Linked DNA regions of Notamacropus eugenii. The protein of the gene in region 2 interacts with the protein of the main gene of each other region in a biochemical or structural test. Links are inferred from orthologs where the notes say so. Each region holds a gene or a part of one and is shown on either strand. Other genes may lie near its edges.

Region 1 (7,289 bases), about 57 Mb from region 2:
TGACCTTTAGCTTCTGATTCATATCTCCCCTCTAGTCTCAGAAATCTGGGAAATAATTGGTCTTTTATAGCAAAAAATTCTTCTCCTGGACTCTTCTCTGCCCACCCAGTTCCCCCAGACATCTGTCATCCAGAGACGCCCAGATAAACCCCAGAGAGAGGAGAGATAAATAGGCCCAATTTTTCTCAACCTCTGTTCACAAGATAAGTTAATCTTCTAAACTAGAGGTTCTTAACCTGAAGCCGATGGACCCCCTAGGGATAGATTTGGGGGAGGGAAACCATGACCTGAATGAGAAAAAAAAACCTCCAAATAAAAATTTTGCATTTCCTTCAGTTTTTTAAGAAGGTGATTCTAAGAAGGGGTCCATGGGCTTCACCAGATTGTGAAAAGCATTCACAACACACCCAAAAAGCTTAAGAACTCCATTTCTGGTTAAAGCCTACAGCTAGATAGCCGAAGAAGGAGTGGTCATTGGGAGTGCCTGGTGGTAGTTCAGCCCTGATCCTACCTCAGCCCCACACCTAGGTCAGATCTGGCCATTCTCGGGGGGGGGGGGGGGGGGGGGGGTATTCCTCAGTCACCCCGATGACACTTACCACCACCTCCCTCAGACGATTCACTCCCGCTCCCCCCTTCCAGCACTTCAGCCTCAAGATCAATGCCATCTGAGCCATACAAAACAAAGTGCTTTGGGAGGCCCCAGGGAAAGTGTGGTCTCAGGCATTCAAAGCCTTTCGTGATTTGGCCACACCCACCCCATAGGGTCAATTTTGCAAGAAGGTAACCCTGCGAGTGTAGTTTCGGGGACCAGGCCAATTGAAGGTGCTTTCTTGTAGAGTCTGAGAAGAAATCCTCACCTGCCTTTCTCTCAGCCCCTGTGCCTGATTTAGAGCTATCAGAGCCTGATTCAGAGTGGGCACCTAGGAATACAGACTAATCTGACTGTCCCGCTCCATAGTTCCAATAATTGCTGGACTGGGGCCCCTTTGTGGGGGACACGCTGACCTTCACCTCAGACAGCTCTCCCCATGACTCAGCAAGAGAGGGATCCAGAAGATCCTGACATCCCACCCCATCCCCAGTCCCTGGCTAGCTTTTCAGAAGCCAGACATCCCTAGGTCCGATTTCTCTACTCTTAGAGAGGACGCCTCGGACCCAGAAATCCAGTCGTCAGCCCAGTTGGTCTTCTCTCTCTTCTGTTTCTCTCCCGGCTTCTTTTCTATCCCCCAGGGACCAGGGCTTTGCCCGGTAGAATGCCAAGCTTTCCCTCCGCCCCCACCAACTCCCAAGATTAGGAGCAGAGTAGACTCCTGAGACTGTTAAATCTTTCCCGCAGCAGGCAGCGGAGCCCGTTAGGGGAAGGCGGAGCTAGTTCAGATAGCGTGGAACAGAAGTGTGCGGGACAAAGTTGTAGGATTTGTAGACTGGCTACACCGAGCAGAGCAGGACTAATTTTTTAGGGAATGAATGGGATGGGATGAAACGAGAATGGACTGCAGCGGCTGGGGTTGCCCCATTTTCACTCTCCCCTGAGCGCCCTCTCTTGGCCACCGACCTCCCGGGTTCGGCACTTTATTCATTAAACCCCGGGAGCCAGATTTAGCTTGTATCCCCCCAGGGAACCCACCTTATTTGGTGCGTGGGACAATTCAGTTTCTCTGTCCTTTACTGGGCACCCGGACAACAGGTCAAGGAATCCCCTTTCTTTGCCTCTCTTTCTGCTTAAAACCAGCTTGTGGACGTTACCCCCTAGCCCACCACCAGGAAGGGCTCTGGGAAGCTCACGCCAAATGGGAGTGGGAGAAGAGAGTTGGAAGGATTTCGAGAAGAGTGACCGGTGATGCCCTAAGAGAACGGAGAACTCGGGCCCCAATCCCCTCTCCATCTGCAATCTCCGAGCTAGGTATGTCATAGAGGAAAATTGTCCTGACTAGCTCCCATGCTCTTAGTTTCTGATCTCACCTTCAGCCTTCTGGTCCTACCCATTTCATTGCTCCTTCAGCCCCCTTCTCTGTTCTCTGCCCCCACTTTTCGGCTTTCCTTTCCTCCTTGCCCTCCCCTGCTCCATCACTCTTTTCATGAACCCCCTTCTTGCTTATCTGCGCCTCCAACGCCCCTTCTCTGTAGGCATCCGGTTTCGTTCATTAGCGCATCCCCCTCCCCTCCCCTCATTGTCCTGCCCTGTCCCTATTGTCGGATGTCCCACCCTCGATACCTTCTGCCTGCCCTCAGCCCCCAATTCCCGTTCCCCACTGCCTCTACTGAAGCTTATCGCTGGAGCCTGCTCCCCCATTCCGTCTGTCCCGATGCTCAGTTACCCCACCCACCCCATCCCCTTCTCCACCGCTCCCTTGCTTCGTTGGTCCAACCGAAGCTCCTCTAGGTGATCCAGGCGTCGGAATACCCTCTACCTTAGCCAACCTACTCCTTCCAGGGACCGAAGAGTCGGAGCACCTCTCCTATCTCTCTCCCTTCATGACCCCACTCCAGGGACCAAAGCGCCCGAGTCCCCTTCTTGACTAGCTGAACCTCAACACCTCCCTCCGCTTCCGGAGAACCCAGGCATCTGAGTTGCCCCCTTCCTCCAAACACGCGCTTCTCTAAGAGACAGGCATCCCAGTCCCTTCAGGCATCAATGTTCTTCCAAGGTTCCTCGGAAAGACCGAGGCGTCGGTCCGAGTCTCTCCCACACTATTCCAGCGCACAGTGGCCCTGGAATTCAAGTTCTCCCTCCTAGCGTCCTCCCCTCTAGTATCCGCGGGCTCTGCTCGCCCTTCCAGCCCCAGTGCGTCCGAAGAGAGGACACCTCCCATTTGAACTCACCCCCAAGAGCAACAGCAGCAGCAAGCGGAACGACCCTTCCATGGCTGGGTAGGTGGACAAGACCACCCTTGGGTGCCTGGTGGCACCTCCCTCCCTCCCCCACCCAGCTTCCTTAGCTCAGTCCTTCTGGTCCTGCTTCTGCACTCGCCAGGAGCCAGCCGAGGCTCCGCTCCCTCTGACTGCTGGCAGGAGGTACTCGGGAGAGCCAGGGCTACGGCCCCGCCCCCTCCCCGCCCATACCGCCCACCCGTCCGGAACAGTGACTGCCCCGCCCCGCCACCCCTCAGTCCCGCTGCCTGGAGTGGGGAGGGGAGGGTGCAGGGGAGACCCGGCCATAAAGCCGAGCTGCTCCTCCATCACTCTCCCCACCTCCCACTCCCACCCCAGCCCTTTACAACCCATCCCCTGTCCCGAGCTTCCTCTTTCCCCGTCACCAACCTGTGCTGTGTTTTCAGGGCCTCTCTATCTCTCTCCTACCCTGCATCCCTTGGCTTCAGTTCTGTCTCCTTGTCGCTCTGCCAATCCTCTATTCTCTCCCCTTGTTTCGTATCTCAGTATCTACTTCTCTACAGTCCCTCCCTGCCCTTTCCTCTCTGCCTGTCCTCAACCTGATGTTTTTCACCTCTTTTCTGTTTATTTTTGTTGTTGTTGCTCTCTCCCCACCTATGATTAGAGTCGTCCCCCCTTCTCCCGCCACTCGAGGTCTCTTCCTCCCCACCTCCTGGGCAGTCACTTATCTACCTCCTGGCCCAGGCAAAAGCTCCGTTCTCTCTCTATGCAAAGGCCTTTCTGGAAGAAGGCAAGTGGAAATCTCTTGCCCTCCCTTCCTCAGTCTCCCTTCCAGGATGTAGTCGGTCATCTGAATTCTGAGGGAGAAGAATGGATATAGGGATGGAGTGGATCCCAATGATTGACTGAATTCTGTCTTTGCTCACAGCTGGGTCGGTTCCAGAAGTCTAGCGATCAGACATTGCCTTTGTCCCTCCCTCAAACTATACACATTCAGTGACACACAGGTGAGAACCAGGAATCACCAAGTAGGCATTTACACCCCTGAGCTACACCAATCTGGCCCTAGGACATTAACAGGTATTGAGGCTCCTCTCCTCTTGCCCTTTCCAGCCTTTTTAAGCCCTTGTGATAAAGGTGGGGCCAAGCTAGGGAACCAGTAGGACAACATGAGGACCAGCTCTTCACCAGTGACTCACAGAAGCTAGAATCTAAGAGCAGCATGGGACCTAGTCTGACCATTTTACAGAGGAGGAAGCTGAGATCCAGAGAGGCAAAACAACTTGCCAGTTGTTGCACAGCTAATAGGACTCACATTCCCTTTTCAGTTGGGGTTTCAAAGGACAAGAAGTCTTGGTTCCTTTGTGCTTTTGACACTTGTTACTGTGCTAGTTTATTACTTGTGGGACTAGTCTTGCCTTCTTAAAGGGGAGAATTACCCCCCCTCTTCTTATCCCCCTCACATGCTTTCATTTCAATTTCTGCCTACACAAAATGACATTAGCAATCTTACCCACCCTTTGCTTGAGGTAGGTACTATGGGTATAATTATTCCCACTTTTTGAATGAGTAAAACTGAGACTTAGGTTAAGCAACCTGCCTATGGTCACACAACTTGTGTCAGAAGCAGAGTTTGAATCCATTTTTCTGATTCCAAGCACATCGTCACATGATGAAAGGAACTCAGAATCCCTGGGGAAAGATCAGTGGAAACAAGAATTAGTTTCACTGGCTTTTCCAAGCACCAAATTTATTGATGGGAGGATTAAACTTTTTCTGTTTATCGTTGTTCCCCCCCAAAAATATTCCACTTATTAATGGGCTTGATTCTCTGAGCCAAAGGTTGGAGGATAGAATAGATAAACCTTCTTAAGGAAGCCCTTCATGGGTTTAAAAAAGGGAAGGAAAATTCTACTCCTTCTTTCTTATTTCTAACAGATGCAGCTGTTCCCCCTTGTGTTACTCTTATGGGTATGTTGTTCCTGTCAGTGGATGAAGTATATGGGAAGTTATGAAGGATAGGGAATGTTGTTGTTTAGTCATGTCTGACTTTGTAACACCATTTGGGAATACTGGAATGGCTTGCCTTTTCCTTCTCCAGTTCATTTTAAGATAAGGAAACTGAGGCAAACAGGGTTAAGTGACTTGCCCAAGGTCACACAACTAGTAAGTGTCTGATGTTGGATTTGAACTCTGACTCCAGGGCCCACACTCTATCCACTATGCCATCTAGCAGTAGTGTGAGAGTACGACATTCATACTGACCCAATAGCTAATATCAACAGTGTCATCAACCATATTGACAGTATAACATTAATTTTAATACTGATTTTCACAATCAACAAGTATTTATTAAATGCCTACTGAGTGTCAGGAAGTTTATTCAGCACTGGGGATACAAAAACAAGAGTGAAAGAATTCCTGCTTTCAAGGAGCTTACCTGCTAAAGGGGAAGAGATCATGAACATATATAAGTATTTATAGAAAAGAAACAAAATGAATACAAGATGATATGGAGAGAGAGGGTCATAGCAACTAGGGGCAGAGTTAGGAAAGGTTTCATGTAGAAAGTGGCGTTTGAGCTAAATCTTGAAGGTGACCAGGGATTCCAAGAGGTGGAGGTGAGGAAGAATTACATTCCAGAAATGGGGTACAGCAGATGCAAAGGCATGGAGCTGGGAGATGAAGTGTCCTCTGTGTGAAATAGCAAGTAGGTGAGTGTAGGTTGAGTGCAGACTTCATGGAAAGAAATAATGCATACTAATTAATAACACAATATAATATGACATCATAACACATATTACTGCTGTTCATAAGAGCACAGAATCATGGATTTAAAGCTTGAAGGGACCTTGGAGGTCATCTGGTCCAACATCTTAATTTTACAGATGAGGGCCTGTGATGTTGTTGTCCCATTCTTTGTTTTCAAAAAGGACATCATGGGGTGATGTCTTGACTTGCAAGTGAATTGGATTTAAGTGAAGCAGAGTTGCACAAAATCATCATCCTCACTCTTTTCCAGTCACCAAAGTTGAGTTGCAAGACAAAAGTCAAGATGTTTCTGACCCCAAGATGCAATGGATAACCTTGGAGTCTTCAATGTCTGACCAAGCTCTTAAGTGCTCCGCAGTGCCTCCTTCAGTCCTCTTCATGGTCGTTGGAACAAATTGTTCTCCTTGGCCCATTCTGCCTGGGGAAGTTTTCCCATGATAAGAAAAGGGAATTCAAGGACCTAAGGTCACACAAGTAGTTAGAGGCAGTCTAGCAAACCTCCATTCCTCAAAGGTATTTCCAGTGGAGTCATGGAGAGAGTCATGTGTAATTGAATATAACCTTAATGTGTTCTACTGAAAGATTGTTTATTGTTAATAACAATAGGAGGTAATTTTTATTATTATTTTATTATTATTAATAGTTTGGATAACAGTGCTCATTTAAGCAGTAACATAATTTTTATAGATATTATTATTAGGAGTATTATATGGGAAAGACAGCTTGCCACAGTAAATAGAGTGCTGGACTAAGAATAAAGAAGATGAGAGTTCAAATTCTGCCTTTGAGAATTATTATCTGTGTGACTGTGGGCAAATCACTTAAGCTCTAAGAATCTTGGGCAACTAATACTATAAATTATCAAGGGACTATAATCCATACTGGTGGAATTCTCTTGTAGTGGAAATTACTCATAGACTTTGAGAACTGGAAAGGGATCTTAGGCATCATCTAATCCAAGGTCCTAATTTTATGAATGAGGAAACTGAGGCCCAGGAATACAAAGTCATATAACTAGTGACAGAGTCAAGATGACAAGCTAGATTTTAGCACCACCAGTCTTGTGATCAGATCTAAACCAAATTCATTTGTATTGACCCTTTATATATTTTGTTACCTATTTATTTCGGGAGCTCCCGGTCTAACAGCAGAGGTAGGATCCCTAAATTTTTGTTCAAGTAGCATAGTTCAATACTTTAAGGATCTATGATTTCATGAGTGTGGGATCCTCCTCCACTGATACAGATCACAACTTATCCACACCTTAGGAAATGATTTCAAGACTGGCTCATACAAAAAAATTACATTCCATGGAAACCAGCTTTTGGTGATGAGAGTCTCCATATTTCCTTAGGTCCATTGATAGCAGGCACATTCTGTCATTGGTTTTATACCAGCCTTTTAAAGTTGCCATCAGTTTATGGTCCACTAACACAGCTTTGTGAGACCAGAGTCACATCTAAAGCATCAAAGTAGAAATTAAGGTATAGGGAAATATTCAATGATACAGATAGATTTACCCAGAGGTAGCATGTTATTTATAATAGAAAAGGGAGATCTGGTTTTAATATTTTCATAGTTTCATCATTTCTAGACCTAGCTCAGATTCTTCTCTTTCCTTCTCCAGGCAGCCTTCCCAGACTCTTCCAATCCCATTACAGATCAGTTCTTTCCTTCCAACC
Region 2 (7,394 bases):
CTTCTCCTGTCCTCCTGGAAGCCAGGGGCCTTCCTCTTGCCCTGACTCCCAATTCCATCTCAGTCCAGTACTGAAGGGATTGCGTGGGAAACAACCGCATCAATCTGAGTCTGGAACCTGCCCCTGCTCCCACAGTGCTCACTGGGAATATTCGGGGTGGAATAAAAAGACTAGGGAAAGGAGTTTCATTTTCCCAGAAGTGATGAGGAAGGAAGGGTTACTAGAGATGCCCCAGGTTAAAGTAAGTTGGAAGGAGGAGGTATGGTTCCTTTGTTTTGAAGGGACTGGGCAGAGAAGGAGATAGTATTATTCCTCTGTGCTCAGGGCCTTGCACAAGGGTTTATAGGATTAGTCAGTCAATAAGCATTTATTAAGCACCTATTGTATACCAGGCATTGTGCTCAGAAAAATAAAAAAGACCCTCACTGTTCTCAAAACATGAAACCAACTATGCACCAGCAAGAGACATACAGGATAAATGGGAGATAATCCACAGAGTGAAGCATTGAGGAGGATTAGGAAATGATTCTTTTAGAAAGTGGAAGGGAATCCAGGTGGTGGAAATAAGGAGAGAGTGTCAGTCATGAGAATCAGTCAGATAAGATGTCTGGAGTTGGAAGGGATCTCAGAGGTCATGTTGTCCTGCCCCTGCATTTTAGATGAGAAAGCTGAGGATTGTGGATGTTAAATGATTTGCCCAAGGTTACACAGGTAATAAGTGTGAGGGATCATTTTCATTGCATCAACCTTCTTCACAACTGTTCATAGAATTAAATTGAACTAACTCCATCCCCCAAAAGAAAAAAGGGGAGGAAATCTTGTCAGCAAGGTTTCCCTATCACCTTCCCAGCTCCCAACCCCACTTAACACAGTCTTCAGGCTTCAGATCACCCGTTAGAGACATCTCATCCATTTCAAGTCTGCTCTCCACTGTTATTTTATCAGGAATTCATCAGCATAAAAATGTAGGGAATATCAGTGGGAATTCGGTGATTTGAAAGGAAAAAGGCTGATAATCAGCCCTCACTTCAAAGTAGGCCTCTGAATTTTACAAGAGTTTTGGGACTCCAAAAAAAAGTCCAGAAAAAGAAATACACCTTTCCTCCATGCCTGGTCCCTCCCTGTCTTTTTGTTATTGGGTGTTTTATTTTATTTTTATTTTTTCTGCTGACAGACAACTACAGTCTTCATCAATAGCCCCTGGCTAGGAAATGAAATGTGAACTTCCTATATTGATACTTGGCCATGGGAACAAAAGAGGCCCATCAGGTTGGCTGAATTTACTGCTCATTTGGGAGTCTAAGAGTTCACCTGACAAAGGGAGAGAGACAGAATTAAGGAAAAGATTATAAGATCAGGGCGTTGTCCAGTCTCTGGCACATGGTAGGCATTCAATAAATGGTTACAGAATTGAACGCGACCAGAAATTCCTACCCCCGGGGCAGGTGGGGGGGATGTCGCCGATCTCTGAATAGTCTTGGTTTAGAGTCTCTGGAGAAGTTGCTTCTGGCTTTTGGTTATCACTCAGTGCAATCTAGCTCCCTCATCCATAACTGGGAGTCCTAAGTAGGGATCATGATACACTAGTCTGTGAGTGCGGGTCTGAGGACATACGCAGAGCAACTGATAGTCATTTCCTTAACTTCAGATTACATATTGAGAATAGGATCAGTGAAGGTTTGACTTCTTTTGTTTCCAGCTGGGACGTGTACTTCGTTTCTCTTAATACCCCAAGCACCCAAAAGGCTTTGCTGTAATAGACTTTAATTCCTGAAACACCCATAAATTATCCTCCAAACTGTTACAACTTCCAATCTGGAACGACTTGGAAAAACCAGCCCGGCAAGCAAGATCTTTTTTTTTTTTATCTCACTTTTTAGGAGCACAGAAAGTTAGAGCAGCGAGCTCTTTTCATCATAATCTGGGAGTTATGATCTTAAGGAAAAGAACAGCCTCAGTCGGCCCGAACTTAAACTACTCTCGGCTGTTGTTGCCTGACCCTGAAGTCTTCTCTCTTTCCCTCTTTCTGTCCTCCTGGCTTTAGCTGAAGAAGGTGGTGCCACCTCAGCCAAGACTCCCCTGCACCTGGCAACACCCGGCAGGGAAGGATGTCCCAAGAAGGAGGAGCTGAAGCCTCGGCTATCCCTTCCAGGCACCTGAAGGAGCCCGTGGCGTTTTTTAAAATGAAAAGCCTGGCGAAGCCCAGCCCTACTCTGTTTCTCGACCGCACATCAAGCGTTCCCATCCCCAGAACTGAGCCTTTGACCTTGGGCGCCACCAGAGTCCATGAGCTCAGGAGGCGAGAGACCTGATCCCTCAGGGTCCTAACTGCATCTGTGGAAAAAGCTAGAGGGCGACCAGAAAGTGAGCGTTAAGCCGATTTCTGGGCTTTGAGCTGAGCTTTTCGCCTCACCTGGGGAGCCCCTAGGACCTCTCTGTTTTAGCGCAGCAGGGTTACTTTACGGACACTGCCCATTCTCATGCACTCGCTAGCAAAACACTCGTACCTGCCTCTCCCAAGCCTTCCGCGCGATCAAAGCCAGTGGCCCCCGCCCCCACCCCTCACAAATCGGTTCCTTCACTTGCAGGTTTCTCTCCCCAGGCGCCGCGTGCCCGCAGAGAAGCCTTCCCAGGGCCTGCGGGGTTCGCGGTGTGGAGCGCAGCTAAGGCGCACACCGTGGAGCCATCTGAGCCTGGCAAGAGCCGCGTACCCCCAGCCCAGTCCGGCTCCCAAGCCGCGCTCGCGGCAAAGCGCCGCCCGGGACACTCACCTTGGGGCCGTGCCTCGGGATGCCGGAGCCTAGGGGTTGCCCAGAGGGTCGGAGATCTCGCTGGACCCGCGTCCGTAGACACTGTCCCAGGCGAACACAGCCATCCACCCTGCCCCAGGTCCTCGCCGTGTGCGCCTCTGCCCGTGCGCTGCAGTGCCGGTGCTCTGGGGCAGTCCTGACTCACTCCGAGCTCAGCTCCCCTCGGGCTCGCAGCGCTTTCTGCTGGAGTGGCTGGCTCTCGCTCTCCTCCTTAGCATTTTTTTATTTTAGTCCCTCCCCTTTCAAGGCTGCTCAAAACCTCCTCCACCCCCCCTTTCCCGCCCCCACCCCCACCCCAGCACCTGCTCTGCCTGACTCTAAAGCGTTGTCTGCTCCTGAGGGGAAGGGTCGCAGGGTTAGTACAGGGTTCCGAGACTAAGAGGACTGATCGATCCCAGGCCAGTGCCAGCCCCAGGAAGCTCCAGAAGGGAGAGGAGTCGTTATCTCTCATTGTCACCACCTCAGGCAGTGTCTCTAAAAAAGGAGAGGGGGTGAAGGGATTGCACACAGGTTTGGGAGACCGAGGCTCTCAGAGGCACCCAGCGCTAGGCGTTGTGTTTGGGGAGGGCGGAGGTATATTTTTTTAAGCTTTCTGGTTTCCTGGTGGCCCCCTCCCTCCTCGACCAGCTTGCTAACTTCTGGCCACCTGAGCCTTGAGGGTGGGCATGCATTTCTCTGCAGACCTCTCTGACTTTCGCAGGTTGAGTTCTTTCCCGGCATTTCGGGGTTGCTCCCTAGGAGAGAGACCCTGAGACCCAGGCCCTGAGGGGTGTTCCCACTAAACGGAGGTCCCAAATGGAGCCCTAACGCAGGGGCTGCTAGCCAGGACTATAAAACTCGTGGAAGAGAGGCCCTGAGTTTGGGAGAGACATAGAGACAGCAAGCAAAGGCGCGACTGAGGGATGGCCACAGTCTATTTGCCAGGGACGGCCAATGCCCAGGTGAAGGGAATAGGTCCTCTGCCTCTAACTAGAGTGACACCCCCTATTGGCTCACACACATACACCTCAGACCTGGCCCGCAGCCCAATTACTCGACAAACCTCTCTTTTGAGCTGTTCTCCACACTCCTTTCTAGGCTCCTTCTGTCGCTTTGTGTGTATAGCGTTCTTGGTTAAACCCCCAATTTATGCCTTGTAGTTTCTTTTTGAAAGCCAAGTTGGAGGGGGTTTGGTCTGTTGCCTGGGCGCAACAAAGCCCCACGTGGCTCAGTCAAGAGCCACAGACCGTGCCAAGGGCCTGCTGGCACATCACCCACTGCTGTGCCTGGTTTTCACTAGTGTGAACGGGCCAGTTATCCCCCACCTTGCCCCCACAGACTGCGGGGCCTCTAGGAGTTCTATTTCATCCTAATCTTTGAAAAAAAAAAAAGTCGTATTCAATCCTGGCTTCACAGACTGTTAGATTGTGAGATCGGTCGGTGGATGGGGCAAGGGGGTCGCCTTAGATAGCCTTGTTGAAGTACAGCAAAAGGACATACTACTACTAGCCATATGTGTCTCTGTCTCTGTGGCTCTCTCTGCTCCCTGTGTCTGTGTCTCTGTATCGCTCTGTCTGTCTCTCTGTCTCTGTTTGTCTCTCTCTCTGTCTCCCCCTCCCCTCCTGCAGGTGGTGGAGATATTTTTGATTGGTCTGTCTTGCAATTCTGTCTCAGAAGCTCCAATGAGGTCTGAGAAGGGGAGGGAGGGCCGAAGTGCTCTCCTCTCCCGAGACCCTTTACCTGTCACACCGTGGTGCTACAGACTTTTCTGGTACTGGGCATAAAGGGAAGGGGTTTCCTTTAGCGCACTGAAGTAGCTAGGAAACTTGAGACCTCAGGAAAAGTGACATCTTTGATCGTTCACCGGCTTTCTCTGGTGCTTTTTGGGATCAGGTCTATCCTAACCTGCCCACCTGTGAAGGCTGAACCTTGGTGCCTCCACGGCCAGTTGGCAATGCTGATGAAGAAAGGAAAGCATTGGGATAGTGACCAAAGCCTGGAGAGGGATTCAGAGCTTACCTCAGTCTTTCTAGCTTCTGGAAACTAGGGGTACCAAAAAGCAAAACAATGTTGTATTCAGTGGCAAGGGCCCTCAATTTGGAGTCAGATCAGGAGACTCAAGGGTGCCTTTAGGGTAGCAACTGTTTTCTGTGTTTTCTTTGTGTCCTTGGTGCTGAGCACTGCCAGGTGATAACAGTGGATGGCCTCAGACACTTAGCTATGTGACTTTGGGCAAATTGTTTAACCTCTATTTGCCTCAGTTTCCTCATCTGTAAAATGAAGATAACAATAGCACCTCCCTCCCAGGATTGTTGTGAGGTTTAAATAAGATAATTTTAAAGCACTTAGTAGAGCTCCTGGCACTTAGTTAGGGCTATATAAATGTCAGCTATGACTTCATTATTTTTGTTATTTTAAGCAACTAAGGATAGCTAAAGATAACAAAGACAAAACCAAAACAGTCCCTACCCTCAAGGACACCTTTCATAATGTCTTTGTTCTAGTCTTATTCTATACTTCTTAACTAAATGACATTCCATTTCCACCCCTTCTGTGTTTGCCCAGGCTGTTACCCATGCCTGTAATGCTCTTCCTCATCATTTCTACTTAGCACAACTCCAAGCTTCCAAGCTCAGATAAATTGTGATGTACTGTGGGAAATCTATTCTTATTTCTCTGTCTCCTCCTCCTTGGAAATTACTTTCATTTACTTGATATATATCTCCCCTCCCCCAACATAAAATTAATTAGGGCAAAGTCTGCTTTGTTTGTCCCATTGTATTCCCACTGTCTAGTCCTGTGCCTGACACATCCGAATAAAGATAGGAATTAGACCTGTGATTTCATTGATATAGGGACATGATGGGGGTTTAATAAATTATTTTTGAATGAGTGGAGTGAAGACCCTTACATTCTATAGGAGGAAACAAGATGTCCATAGATAAAATGATCTGAAATAAATACAAAATAAATACAAATTGATTTGAGAAAAGGAGCAGTAAAGGCTTCTTGGAGGTGGTAGTACTTGACATTAGCCTAGAAGGGAGGTATTTATTGGATGGGATTTGATTGGACCAGAGCCTGGGGCCATGAATCTGCATCCTAGTTATACTGTTTACTGCCTTGTAATGGTGGGCAAGGCATTATACTTTTATGGGTCTCACTTTTGTCATCTCTAAAATGAGAGTGTTGAATGAAATTATAATTTCTTTCAAATTAATTCTAGCCCAAGTGTCCCATTATGCAGCTGGAAAAACTAAGGTACTGATACTCAGTACTTTTTCCAGAGTCTGGAGTCTAAAGAACTAAAGGCAATTTTTCATGTCAGAGTTCCTATTTATTCAGTATAACTTTACTGTCCCTTAGAAGCATAGATTCAGACCTGGGGCCTTGGAATTTACCTAATCTTGAGTCCTTCATTTTACAGATAATGAAATCACAGACCAGAGAGTTTAAGTAATTTGCCAAAAGTCACACAGGTAGTAAAAGGTAAAAGTGGGCATTTGAACTTTTTACTTCTTCTGAAGTCTTTTAACTTCAAATCCACTGCTCTTTGTGAAGCACATTAATGAATAAGTAAATTACTTATTGGGTAATATTCTCTTATTTCATCCTTTCCACAATCTTATGAGGAAAAAATAATGTAAGCATTATTAATACAAGGCTACAGATGAAGAGAGTGTGGCATGATGTATAGAGAGAGCCAGCCTCCGAACTAGGAGTCCTGTCTTTGATCCTTACTGGTGGTGGGACCCTGAGCCAATCATTAACCTCTCAGTATTTTAAGGAATTCTCTAAGACCACCAGCCGCAGTGAAGGCACCATTTTATAAAGTAGAAGGAATTTCTCATACCAGTGAAATGACAGGTCCTGTCCTTATCCCTTTATGGATGAAGAAAATGAGCTTCACTGAGGGTAAACGATCTAAAATTCCTCACCTAATATATGACACTGGTACTCAAAATAAAAGCCTTCCAAATACAAATTCATTTTATTAAGCCATGTGGATATACATGACGAGAGTGTGAATGGGGATTGAAGCTGATGTTAAATTACAGTGTCTTCAATTTTCCTTTATCATCATCATCACAGTTCACATCTAGCCAGTCCTTTAAGGTTTCCTCAGTTTTGCTCACAACAACCCTGTGAGGTGTATGGTACAAGTGCTAGACTCCCATGATGCCACTAATTGTGAGAGCCAGGATTTAAACCAGGGGCTTCCTATCACCTCCGGGATCAAATACAAAATTCTCTATTTGGGTTCAAACCATTCATAACCTGCCTCCTCTAACCTTTCCAGTATTCTTCCACCATACTCTCAGCTACCTACTCCTCTATTCAGTGACACTGGCCAGGGCTGTTCCTTGAACAAGATACTCCACCTCTTAGCTCCAGGCATTTTCTCTGTCTGTCCCCTTTGTCTGGAATGCTCTCCTCATCTCTGCTTCCTGGCTCCTCTAGCTTTATTCCAGTCCCTGCTAAAATCCCACCTTCTACAGGAAACCTTTCTCAATCCCTCTTAATTCTAGTGGCTTACCTTTATTAATTATTGCCTATTTATCCTGTATATCTGATTACTTGTTGTCTCTCCCGTTAGATTGCAAA

The links.
Region 1: the proteins of NGF (region 2) and NGFR form a complex in vitro, tested with the Homo sapiens proteins (2 studies listed by BioGRID and IntAct, with this or other methods). The link is inferred for Notamacropus eugenii from reciprocal best matches to the Homo sapiens genes NGF and NGFR.

What each region holds. Positions count from the first base shown.
Region 1 is NC_092873.1:351,342,419-351,349,707, forward strand, and holds the start of NGFR (tumor necrosis factor receptor superfamily member 16), read right to left. Parts: upstream 3,004-7,289; 5' UTR 2,869-3,003; coding exon 2,827-2,868; intron 1-2,826. UniProt on the Homo sapiens protein: Low affinity receptor which can bind to NGF, BDNF, NTF3, and NTF4. Forms a heterodimeric receptor with SORCS2 that binds the precursor forms of NGF, BDNF and NTF3 with high affinity, and has much lower affinity for mature NGF and BDNF.
Region 2 is NC_092873.1:294,751,350-294,758,743, forward strand, and holds the start of NGF (beta-nerve growth factor), read right to left. Parts: upstream 3,005-7,394; 5' UTR 2,772-3,004; intron 1-2,771. UniProt on the Homo sapiens protein: Nerve growth factor is important for the development and maintenance of the sympathetic and sensory nervous systems.